Oryctolagus cuniculus: one gene and its partners. The protein of the gene in region 1 purifies or fractionates together with the protein of each later gene. This does not show direct contact. Links are inferred from orthologs where the notes say so. Each region holds a gene or a part of one and is shown in the gene's direction. Other genes may lie near its edges.

Region 1 (4,244 bases):
TTACTCTGATGTCAATACACACACACACACACACACCCCACTCACACACACTGCCCTATGCATTCGAATGCAGGTTTTTATCTGTGTGAGGGCACAGATCCTCCTACGTGGTATATAATAATTATTTGCATGGCCTGTAGGGTCCTTCGGGGTAGCAATAACAAAGCGTAGTGAGCAGAAAGAGGACCTGGAATCAAGGGACTTGTGCTCAACCAGCTGTGTGGTGGAGGACAAGTTACTCTGCCTCGCTGGGCCTTGGTTTCTTCCTCCATAAGAGGAGCATTACAATAAAATGTGCCTCGCAGTCTCCTGTTTGTCATCAAAGCAAATTAACGGGTGCCAAAGGACATAGGGATTGCCAAAAGCTAACGTCTCATCATCCACGTGTCCTTGCCTGTCTCCCAGAAGCCCGGCACAGTGCGGAGGCTGGGACCGTGGGTCCTGGTCCAAGGACTGGAGTACTGCCCGACTTCACTGGGTCTTCAAGGCTCCCCTCTGGGACAATAGCCCGTTTCAAGATGAGCAAGCTGAGGTTTGCTGCCTCATTCATTCCTCCCAAAGACATCCGAATGGGCAAATCTCACGCCGGGGCTCAGACTCTGGGGATACAAAGGTGAGTAAGGCACAATCCCCGCCCTCACATTCGGATCCACCAAGAAAAGTGTAACATGAGGCAGACGGCAAATTCTGGATGATGATTAGAGTGCTTCCTGGTTCCTGCCTTAATCTCTTCCCGTGTTTCACTCACTCGACCGCCCACGCGCAACAGCTGGCTAACATTTTAATTCATATTTTTCAGGGACCCACTGATAAGACCAAGGCAGGGCAACAGCAGAGCCAGGAGGCACACCCAGCGTGCCGGGGGCGGGGGTCCCACTTAACCCAAAAGTGCAGACGGCGCTGTGCCAGAGCCCCTGGAGGGCTCCGAACTTAGCCCGGTGTTCAGGGTGGTCAGGGGAGGCTGCCAGGACTGAGGATTAGCTGGGCAGAGAAGCTGGGTAGAGGGAAAGGTGCGTGGGGCACCTGCCCCGGAAGTCTGATGGGCACCAAGGCCAGGCAGGGGCTGCAGCTTGGGAGGAGGCCGCAGAAGCAGGCAGCACCCAGCCCAGGAAGGAGAACAGATTTTCAGAAGGTGAAGATAGATGGGGAACAAGAGGGAAGAGAAATTCAGGAAGTAGAGTTTTCCGGAAGGCGGTGATTTTGCGTGGTTAAGAAGAGGACAGGGAGCTTTTGCTCCTTATTCAAAGGGGTGGGGTCAGATTTGACGGAGTCAGTTTTAGATGCGAACGCAGATCTTCTGCGTGGAGCCAAGGGGACCAGGGCTTCCCGCAGAGAAGCGGAATTCAAAGAGCTTTGCACCCGATCCCAGTGGCGGCGGCGGCGGCGGCACTACACGCCCCTGGACACCAGAGGGCGCACTCGTACAACCTCGAGCCGCTCTGGCCCGGCGCGTCTCGGTGGCCGCGGAAGGTGACGTGGACACGGAAGTGGTCGTCGTCGCGGCGGTACCGGTGGGAGCGGGGCGCGGGGCTCCGAGTGTGGCCGGCGGGCGGACGGGCGGCGGCGGTCTCGCACCGGCGGTGATCGGGGGCGCAGGCGTTGTCGGTTGGCTGCGAGTCCGCCGGACCCTCGAGAGGCTTTTCCTTTTCCCTGCCCGTCGGAAGCCCGGACCCGGGCCCGCTCAGCCGGCGTCATCATGACCAAGGCCGGTAACAAGGGCGGGAATCTCCGCGACAAATTGGACGGCAATGAGCTGGACCTGAGCCTCAGCGACCTGAATGAGGTCCCGGTGAAGGAGCTGGTCAGTACAGCCCCGCTAGGCGCAGGCGCCCCCTTCGCCTGGCAGTGGCCCCCGCGCGGGCCGCCTTCTGTCCCGTGCCTCGGTTTCCCCGTCTTTAAAGCCATGGGGAGGCGGGGGGCGGGGGGCTGAGCCCCCGGGGCGGCCACGTCCGGCTGCAGTGTTCTTCCTGGGATGTACACGTGTCACTTTGGCGCGGCTCCAGAAGATGGGGGAGACCGTCTCTTCTGGCCTTGGGCTCTTCACCAGCCAAGAATGAGTGATGGGGTGGGGGGGTGGGGACTTTCATAGCCCCAGCCGGTGCCCGACCCCAAGCCGAAGCCCACCGAGCGGTTGCTGGCTGTATTGGAAAATGAATGAATGAGTCGGTGTGGGAAAATAGGCCTCCCGGCAGACCTGGGTGTGGCTCGGGACCTGGCAGCCTAGCTGGCTGTCCCAGCCCTCGGGCGACTAGAAACGTGAAGTCTCCCCGGCCAGGCTGGCAAGGTCTCATCCCAACTCCGCCGAAACTGGCGGGAAACCCCCCTCCCCCCACTCTTCCTCCTTTCTTACCCCACAAATTGAAGCCTGCCGTCCTGGGGCGATTACTACCTACTTCGCTGCCTACGTGGGTCTGGAGCCTCGGCCCCAGCCGCCCCCACCGGGAGTGCTAGCTTCCTACACCTTCCTTACTGCGAGTGATGGACGACCCTTGCCTTTAGCAAGGCCCAGTCTTCACCTCACCAGGGCGCTATGTAGTGTGGGGCTTAGCATGGGGTTCCAGCTCACATGGCAGCTTCATCGCTTGCTGGCTGAGTGCCCTTGGCGGCTGGGTAACTCTTGGGCCTAGATCTCCTCACTTATGAAATGGTGATCATCTCTCATTTGCTGGTTGTGACAGTTAAAAGTGCCTGGAAGGTGGCAGGCGCTGACAGATGGACTGTTACCGTGGTTCTTCCCACTGTAGCGGCCAACACTGTCTCGTTTCACCTTCTGACACTTGGAAAGGCAGGTCGGCCGTGGGTCCTTAGTGGCCAGCCTTGTTCCAGACTGGCCCCGGGACTGCTATGGGAAACTGATTTGTCTGGTCAGTGCATCACGGTCTCCTGGGGCGAAAGAAGGGTCAGGTGCGCGGGGCCTCTTCCACCCCAGACACCGTGGGAACATGGAGATGGGCCGTGAGGGCCCCGTTTGCACGCCGGCTCCCGTGTCCTCGTGCACTCTCGGTTGAGCGCCTGCTTCCCGGGAGGGCCCTGAAGTGGGAAGTACGAAAATTGCAGCGCTTTCTGAGACTCGGTCCCTGCCCGCAGCCTCACAAGAGGGGCGCTTGAGAGTTTCGGTGCCGTAGAGAATTCTGAGCACCCAGGTTTTCCTTTCTCTGCTGTTCTGTGGCCAAACCCCTCTTTTTGTTCTGCCTTAGAACTGGCTCAGTTTTTCCTCTCTTATCCCCAGCAACACTGTTCTTCGGTGCCATTAAAAAAAAAAATCCTTTCCTAGTCGTGGGAACTTTCCTGGGAAAATGCTTCACTTGCAGGTGTCCCTGAGCCGTGGCAGGTGCCGACTTGACGTGTTTTTCTCATCTCCTTTCCTAGGCTGCCCTTCCAAAGGCCACCGTCCTGGATCTGTCCTGCAATAAACTCAGTACCCTGCCGGTAAGTGTGGCAAGTGACTCGGCCGGCCCGAGTTCTGGGTGCATCGCCTTCCTGCTGCATACGGGGTTGTGGGGGGATTCATAAGACATAGTTCCAGTATAGGTCTTGCAGGAAGGCGACAGCTGAATCTGAGTGTGTGTTGGGGTGTGCATTTGGGAGGTTGGTTTCCACTGGAAGAGACTTGAGGCCTCATTCTTTAGAACAGTGGAAAAGTCAGGGCACAGAGAACTAAAGGCAACAGGAGGCTGGCTGAATCACTGGACTCATCTTTTTTTTTTTAAGATTTTTTTTTTAAAGATTTATTTATTTATTTGAAAGTCAGAGTTACACAGAGAGAAGGAGAGGCACAGAGAGAGAGAGAGAGAGGTCTTCCATCTAATAGGTCACTCCCCAGTTGGCCACAATGGCCAGAGCTGCGCGATCAGGAGCCAGGAGCTTCTTCCGAGTCTCCCACGTGGGTGCAGGGGCCCAAGGACTTGGGCCATCTTGTACTGCTTTCCCAGGCCATAGCAGAGAGCTGGATTGGAAGTAGAGCAGCTAGGTCTTGAACTGGCGCCCATATGGGATGCTTGTGCTTCAGGCCAGGGCACTAACCCACTGTGCCACAGCACCTGCCCCAAGATTTATTTTATTTAAAAGAGTTAGATTTCGGCTGGCGCCGCAGATCAACAGGCTAATCCTCCACCTTGCGGCACTGGCACACCGGGTTCTAGTCCCGGTTGGGGCACCGGATTCTGTCCCAGTTGCCCCTCTTCCAGGCCAGCTCTCTGCTATGGCCAGAGAGTGCAGTGGAGGATGGCCCAAGTGCTTGGGCC
Region 2 (3,301 bases), on another chromosome or scaffold:
CGGGATGCCGCAGGGATAAGAGAAATAGAAGTATAGAAGTAAAATGAGAGAAATAGGAATGCTGGCAGATAGAAGTAAAATAGGAGAAATAGGAATGCCTGGAGATAGAGAAATAGAAAGGCCTCCCCACAACACGGCAATGAGAGAGCTTGGATTCGGTCTGCCTGATTAGTAAGACGATAAGCACCTGTGAGCGGCTGCATGTCACCGAAGACAGGCACGTTATCAACACCAATAAGTCTCCCCACAAGACGGCGATGATAGGGCTTGGATTCGGTTTGCCTGATTGGTAGGGCTTGTAAGCACCTGCAGGCAGTTCTAGCAGAGCAGAGCATGCGCTGCAGGGCACCGAACACAGGCACGCATCAGCGCCTAAAAACCTCACAACATGGCGAAGAGAGGACCCGGATTCGGTTTGCCTGATTGATAGGACTTGTAAGAACCTGTGGGCAACTCCAGCAAGCAGAGCAGAGTGTGTGCCACGGGGCACCGAAGACAGGCGCGTATCAACGCCAAAAAATAAAAAGAAAGGGGGATCTGTGGGGAGCAACTCAGACTAGACTGTTACTGGAATTAAGACTTATTCTATGCATCTGCTCTCCCACAATATGGCGCTGGGAGAGGAGTAAACAGCTTCTACTCAGCTGCCTCCAGTTCAACCAATAAACAGCAGGACCTGCTCCTGATTGGAGGAGAGCAGCATACTCGGCGTGTGGGTAGCAGAGTTGGGATTGGTGGAAGAGGACTATAAAGGAGGAGAGAGACAACATGCACCAGGAACATCTAAGAGGAACACCTGTGCAGCCCCCGAGAGAGCCGGCTGGCGGTGTGCTGCTCCCCCGCGGAAGTGGGGAAAGTGGCAGGGGGAACCGCCCTTCCACGGAGGTGGGAGGGACGGTAGCCAACCTGGGAAGAACCAGCAGCAAACCCGGGGAGGGCCGAGCAGACAAAAGAACAGCGCAGGGTCTAGTGTCGTTCCTCCACGAAGACGGGGAGCGACATAATGGTGCCGTGACTCGGATATGAAGCCTAGGCAGGGTTTAGTGTCGTTCCTCCATGAAGAGGGGGAGCGACAGTAGGCTGAAACAGTAGTAGATTATTTAGAAATAGAATTAATGTTGTGTAGGATTATTAATAATGCTGATATTTTGATACTTAAAATGGAAGAGCACTAAAGATAAATCATTGTATGAGGCAACCTCAAAGTTCATGGAAAGTGGAATTTAAAGAGAAGTATCTGGGTACAAACATGTTTGAAATGCATGTTTTTAAAAATAATACACATAGTTCGATCGGTAGCGGGAGCGGAGAGCGGACCCCAGAGAGCCCTGAGCAGCCCCACCGCCACCGCCGGCCTAGTTACCATCACACCCCGGGAGGAGCCTCAGCTGCCGCAGCCGGCCCCAGTCACCATCACCGCAACTATGAGCAGCGAGGCCGAGACCCAGCAGCCGCCCGCCGCCCCCGCCCTCAGCGCCGTGGAAACCAAGCCCGGCACCACGGGCAGCGGCGCAGGGAGCGGTGGCCTGGGCAGCCTCACATTGGCGGCGCCCGCCGGCGGGGACAAGAAGGTCATCGCAACGAAGGTTTTGGGAACAGTAAAATGGTTCAATGTAAGAAACGGATATGGTTTCATCAACAGGAATGACACCAAGGAAGATGTATTTGTACACCAGACTGCCATAAAGAAGAATAACCCCAGGAAGTACCTTCGCAGTGTAGGAGATGGAGAGACTGTGGAGTTTGATGTTGTTGAAGGAGAAAAGGGTGCGGAGGCAGCAAATGTTACAGGTCCTGGTGGAGTTCCAGTGCAAGGCAGTAAATATGCAGCAGACCGTAACCATTATAGACGCTACCCATGTCGTAGGGGTCCTCCACGCAATTACCAGCAGAATTACCAGAATAGTGAGAGTGGGGAAAAGAATGAGGGATCGGAGAGCGCTCCCGAAGGCCAGGCCCAACAACGCCGGCCCTACCGCAGGCGAAGGTTCCCACCTTACTACATGCGGAGACCCTATGGGCGTCGACCACAGTATTCCAACCCTCCTGTGCAGGGAGAAGTGATGGAAGGTGCTGACAACCAGGGTGCAGGAGAACAAGGTAGACCAGTGAGACAGAATATGTATCGGGGTTATAGACCACGATTCCGCAGAGGTCCTCCTCGCCAAAGACAGCCTAGAGAGGACGGCAATGAAGAAGACAAGGAAAACCAAGGAGATGAGACCCAGGGTCAGCAGCCACCTCAGCGTTGGTACCGCCGCAACTTCAACTACTGACGCAGACGCCCAGATAACCCTAAACCACAAGATGGCAAAGAGACAAAAGCAGCCGATCCACCAGCTGAGAATTCGTCCGCTCCCGAGGCTGAGCAGGGCGGGGCTGAGTAAATGCCGGCTTAACATCTCTACCATCATCCGGTTTAGTCATCCAACAAGAAGAAATGAATATGAAATTCCAGCAATAAGAAATGAACAAAAGATTGGAGCTGAAGACCTTAAGTGCTTGCTTTTTGCCCATTGACCAGATTACTAGAACTATCTGCATTATCTATGCAGCATGGGGTTTTTATTATTTTTACCTAAAGATGTCTCTTTTTGGTAACGACAAACGTGTTTTTTAAAAAAGCCTGGTTTTTCTCAATACACCTTTAAAGGTTTTTAAATTGTTTCATATCTGGTCAAGTTGAGATTTTTAAGAACTTCATTTTTAATTTGTAATAAAAGTTTACAACTTGATTTTTTCAAAAAAGTCAACAAACTGCAAGCACCTGCTAATAAAGGTCTTAAATAAAAAAAAAATAATACACATTATCCATGAACTTTTTGAAGATCCTTTGTACAGAAGCACAGGGTGGTAGTTGAGGGTATGAGTTTGAACCCTTCCTCCCACTCTTGGTAGTGTGATGTTTGTGTCCTTGTTTCAGATTCCCCATTTGTAAAGTTGGAATGATGATAATACATATTTCATTGTGATGTCATGTGTAAGAATTGTGAATAGTAAGTGTATCATAATTATTAGGGATTAAAGAGTAACTTTTCCTCTAAGTTATGCTTGCTAATATGTCAGTTGGGCTATATTTTTCTGCTGCAGTTATTAAAAGGACTTGTGTAGAGCTTTTGTAGGATTTTGAAGAAGGAATAAAGATCCCTCGCAGAGACCTTGAACCTAGAATCAAGCTCACAGTGACCCGGTTTTTGTAGAGTTCTGAGGTCCACTAGTGAGTCAGGATCAACCTAGATTTATGAAATTGCAGCCATGGAGTGTGACACTACTCCCTAAGAACATTTATCTCTGTGTTGAA
Region 3 (4,282 bases), on another chromosome or scaffold:
TTAGCTGCATCCCCCAAAATTTAAAAATGTTTTTGTTTTCATTTTATCGAGGAAGAGAGAGAGAGAAAGAGAGAGAGAGAGAGAGAGAGAGGGAGAGGGAGAGAGAGATTCTTCTTTTGCTGGTTTACTCCACAAATGCCCACAACAGCCAGGCTGAAGCCGGGAACCAGGAAGTCCACCTGGGTTTCCCAGCTGGGTGGTAAAGACGCAGGTGCTGGAGCTATGACCCGCGGTGCGTTAGCTGGGAGGTAGAGCAGGAGCAGAGCTGACTCGAACCCAGGCCCCCTGATGTGGGCTGTGGGAGCCCAAGTGTGGCTGGACTGTTGCTCTCCGATGCTGCCTGGCCACCTCATTTTTGGAGAGAGGTCACAAAGCCAGGTTACTATGTGTTGAAATTGTTCAGCCGTTAAAAACTAACAAAACCAAAGACAGAGAGGAAGAAGAGGAAAACAGCGCGAACAGTCACTCCACAGCGCTCATTTGAGGACCACTGTGTTAACCAAGGCACAGGTTCGTCGTGGGGCTGCTGGGTGTGGGAGGGGAGCCTTAGACGTGTTTTTCTTTTTGTACTTAGGGACTGGCAGTCACATCTTTTTTCCCAAAGGCCTCAAGTCTTCTGGGCTGTTGCCAAGTAATTAAGGAATTATTTTTCTTTGTTTCAGGATGAAGATGGAAATAAGAAACTGAGCACTGGAGATGTTACTCCAAATTCTGCCTGCTCCTTCCCGCAAGATAAGTTATATAGGAATGGGCAGAGCGCATAAAGTCCCCGTGAAAAGTTGGCTCTCATCTAAAATTACACTGCTGTTTCTGTTAGAGTGGGCACTTGCTGTCAGTGTACGGAAACAGAAGAAAGTCGGCCTGGAAGTGATAGGCGGAGCCCTGGGGTCCTAACGCGCACAGCCACATCATCTTTTCGTTTGTTTTTTTAAGCTTTATTTATTTGAAGGAGAGAGTCTGCCATCGCAGGTGCCTGACCGCTCCCCTCGGCGCCGGCCCCTATCTTGCCTTTCAGTGCACCTAGCAAGTTAATGATTTTATTCGCGCCTTTTATCCGCACTGGAACGTAAGCTCCATGAGGGCACGGGCGTTTGTCCGTTCCGTTCTTAGCTCTCGGGGCAGCGCCTCGCACATGGCGGAGGAAGGAGGCCCTGAGGGCGGGAGCGAAGGGAACGACACCTGCGAGACGAGAGGACGGACTGAGAGAAGGAAGAAGGAAGTGCGGGAGGCCAGAAGGCACGCGCTCCGCCTTCCCGCTCGGGGCCCGGCAGAACTACAACTCCCAGCAGGCCGCTGGCCCAGGGCGGGCGGCGGCCACCTCGCCGCGACCAGGCCCCGCCTGCCGGCTCCCGGTGTGCCTTGCGGGCGCCGGCCCCGCCGCAGCGCCCGCCGGGACTTGTGGTTTGGGCCGCGGGTGGGGGTGGGGCCGGGCCTGGAGGCGGGCGGGGGCCGGGGGCGGGCGCCGGCCCCTCCCCCGTCACTTCCTGCCGGGCTGCGGGCGCCGGAGCGGCTCCTCAGCGTTTGCGCCGGCCGCCGTCGCTTCTTCTCTCGGCTTCCCCGCTTCTTGGACCCCCCGGCCCGGCGGCGGCGCCCGCCTCCTCCGCAGCCACTCCGCCTCTTCCCACCCGCCGTCCCTTCCTCCTCTCCCTCTTCCTTCCTCCTTCCCCTCGTCGCCGCCACCACTGCCGCCGCCGCCGCCCAGGACCGCCGGCCGAGGGGCGAGCTGAGGGCAGCAGCCAGGTGAGGCGGCCGGCCGAGCGCGGCGGGGCCCGCGCGGGCGCGGCGGCCACGGGGCGGGGGGCGGCGGGCGGCGGGCGGCGGGTGGGGCCTAGGCCTCGGCGGGCCGCGCGCCGGCCTCCTCCCCCCGGCCCGGGCCTGCGTCCCGCCCGCGGGGCCTGCCCGGGGTGGGGGAGAGGCGGGTCCTCCGGCGCCCCCAGCCCCGCCGCCGCTTTCTCGCCGGGGCCGGGAACAGGTGCCTGGCGCCCTGCGCTGGGCGGGCGCGCGGGGACAGCGAAGTTCCTGCCGGGCTGGTGGTGTCCCCTCTCCAGCCCTCGGGGTCCGGAGCGTCCGCGTCGTGCGGCGGGCACGGCCCAGGTGTCCGGCCCCGGCGCGGCCCCTTCAACTCTTTGTGTGGGCTGGGGAGAGGGGCGCCGAGACCGTCCTGCCGCTTTCTGGCTGCGGAGGTTCGGGGAAATGGGGCGTGTGAAGCGCTTATCGGAGCGCCAGACCCACAGCGTGTCCCCAATAAACCGCCTGCATGATTGATTGGCGTGATAGGAAGGTGTAATTTAGTGGGGCGAGTGGACAGAAGTTGACCTACCTAGCTGCCTCGCTGCCCGTGCGCGAGTGGGGGAGGCAGCGGTGTTCGGCGTGGCCCCCGCCGGCGCCGGGGGCATTGTTTTGGGCTCAGGGCTGGAAGGGGGCGAGCCCGGGCCGGACCCCCTGCGCGCCAGCCGCGGGTCCGCCTTCCCCGTGGTCGTCCCGCCTCTAGGAAAGTTGCTGGCAGCCGCTGCCCCTGCGCCGGGCGACGTGCTTGTCCTCGGGCCGGGGCCGGGGCCGGGGGCGGTGGACGGACGGCGCTGGGCGAGCGTGCCTGTCCTCGGGCCGGGGCCGGGGGCGGTGGACGGACGGCGCTGGGCGAGCGTGCCTGTCCTCGGGCCGGGGTCGGGGCCGGGGGCGGTGGACGGACGGCGCTGGGCGAGCGTGCCTGTCCTCGGGCCGGGGCCGGGGGCGGTGGACGGACGGCGCTGGGCGAGCGTGCCTGTCCTCGGGGCCGGGGCCGCGGGCGGTGGACAGACGGCGCTGGGCGAGCGTGCCTGTCCTCGGGGCCGAGGGCGGTGGACGGACGGCGCTGGGCGAGCGTGCCTGTCCTCGGGGTCGGGGCCGTGCCCCTGCCTTGCCGCGTCGGCGTGGGTGCAGGCTCTCGGCTGTTCGCGCGCAGATGCGCGTCCCAGCCGCCTGCCCCTGTTCTCTGGCCGTGCGGAGGGCTTTGGGGTCGCGCTGCCGTGCTGCGCGTGTTTTTGTTTAGAAGCGGGCGGACGGAGTCGAAGTACGGTTTTGCAGGAAGGGACCTCTGCTTACGTTGCTACTTGTTGAAGCAGAAACTAAAAATACAGCCGGGGTGTGGAGGCAGCGGTTTGGCCGTCTGGGGACGGGCGCACCGAGTTCTGCTAATGCTGGGCTGCGTGGTGCGGCTGTGCCGGTCCTTGGGGAGCTGCGGCCGCCGAGGTGCTCAGCTTCGAGTTAGGACAGAGAAAACGGAGTGTGCGCGCCGCAGACGTCCGCCTAGACCTCGGCTTGTCTTAGTCCGTTTCCTTAGAGAAATGAAAATGTTTTGATTTACATCTCTCAATGCAAAGTGGCTTCCTTGTTAGGTTTTTCTAGAATTTTCTGACACAGTGTCACATTGCTTCTGATTTAAAATTTGACGTTTTAAAAACAGCTAAACAGACAACTCTGCAAACAGTAAAAAGCATGTTTTCTGCTACCTTGTGGTAAGTTGTGCTAGGGAAGTTTTAATATTGCAGTGGGTAACATAAAGCTGTTTTTAAACTTTTCACTGTGGAAAATACATGAAAATTGACTAGACGACTTAGGTATTGTGTTTGTCGCTCAACTTCGGCAGTTTTTTTTAAAAAAATAGCTTCCATCCGCTGGTTCACTCCGCAGGTGCCGCACGCACAGCTGGGCCTGGGCCAGGCTGCCACGTGGGTGTCGGGGACTGCGTGCTCCATCATGTGCTGCCTCCTTGGCCCTCGGCCGAGGGGCAGGCAACCCCGGCTCCAGTGTGAGAGCCCCAGCTCTGACAATGATTAACTTACAGTTAAGAGCAGTCTTGTACCTCCTCCCCCAAACTGTATTGTTTTGAAGCAAATCTTAAACATCGTATCACAGTGTTAGAGATTTTGACTTTTACCAGAATGCTCCTAAAATGTGCTTTTAAAAGAATCAGTTGTCATTTTGTTTGCTTGGCTTCTCATCTCTGAACAGATTACTTGGTTACTGTGCAGTGGGGAAAAGACTAGCAGCTGAGCTAGTTTTGATCAGTGCTGTCCCGCTCTCAAAGTCAAATCCCAAATGTGGCCTTGCTTCTCTGTGTGCAAAAGTAACTCTTGAGCCATGAAAGACTAATTGAAGAGCCATCAGAAAGACAGATTTCCTATCCCTTTGTTGGTGGAGACCTACCTGCTAGGCCCCTTTAAATAGGCAGGAGCTTTGTGTCAAAGTTAAACCACAGTAATGCACCATGAAGCTTCCCAAAGTTTCTTTAGCTGGTTGTGTA

What was found. The genes of interacting proteins can lie anywhere in the genome.
Region 2: the proteins of LRRC59 (region 1) and Y-box-binding protein 1 purify together in Homo sapiens (co-immunoprecipitation; 3 studies listed by BioGRID and IntAct, with this or other methods). This does not show direct contact. The link is inferred for Oryctolagus cuniculus from reciprocal best matches to the Homo sapiens genes LRRC59 and YBX1.
Region 3: the proteins of LRRC59 (region 1) and STAU1 purify together in Homo sapiens (affinity purification with mass spectrometry; 3 studies listed by BioGRID). This does not show direct contact. The link is inferred for Oryctolagus cuniculus from reciprocal best matches to the Homo sapiens genes LRRC59 and STAU1.

Annotation. Positions count from the first base shown.
Region 1 is NC_091448.1:26,317,151-26,321,394, reverse strand, and holds the start of LRRC59 (leucine-rich repeat-containing protein 59), read left to right. Parts: upstream 1-1,436; 5' UTR 1,437-1,696; coding exon 1,697-1,801; intron 1,802-3,369; coding exon 3,370-3,429; intron 3,430-4,244.
Region 2 is NC_091434.1:59,357,000-59,360,300, reverse strand, and holds Y-box-binding protein 1, read left to right. Parts: upstream 1-1,247; 5' UTR 1,248-1,262; coding exon 1,263-2,276; 3' UTR 2,277-2,798; downstream 2,799-3,301. UniProt on the Homo sapiens protein: DNA- and RNA-binding protein involved in various processes, such as translational repression, RNA stabilization, mRNA splicing, DNA repair and transcription regulation.
Region 3 is NC_091442.1:11,270,595-11,274,876, forward strand, and holds the start of STAU1 (double-stranded RNA-binding protein Staufen homolog 1), read left to right. Parts: upstream 1-1,479; 5' UTR 1,480-1,740; intron 1,741-4,282. UniProt on the Homo sapiens protein: Binds double-stranded RNA (regardless of the sequence) and tubulin.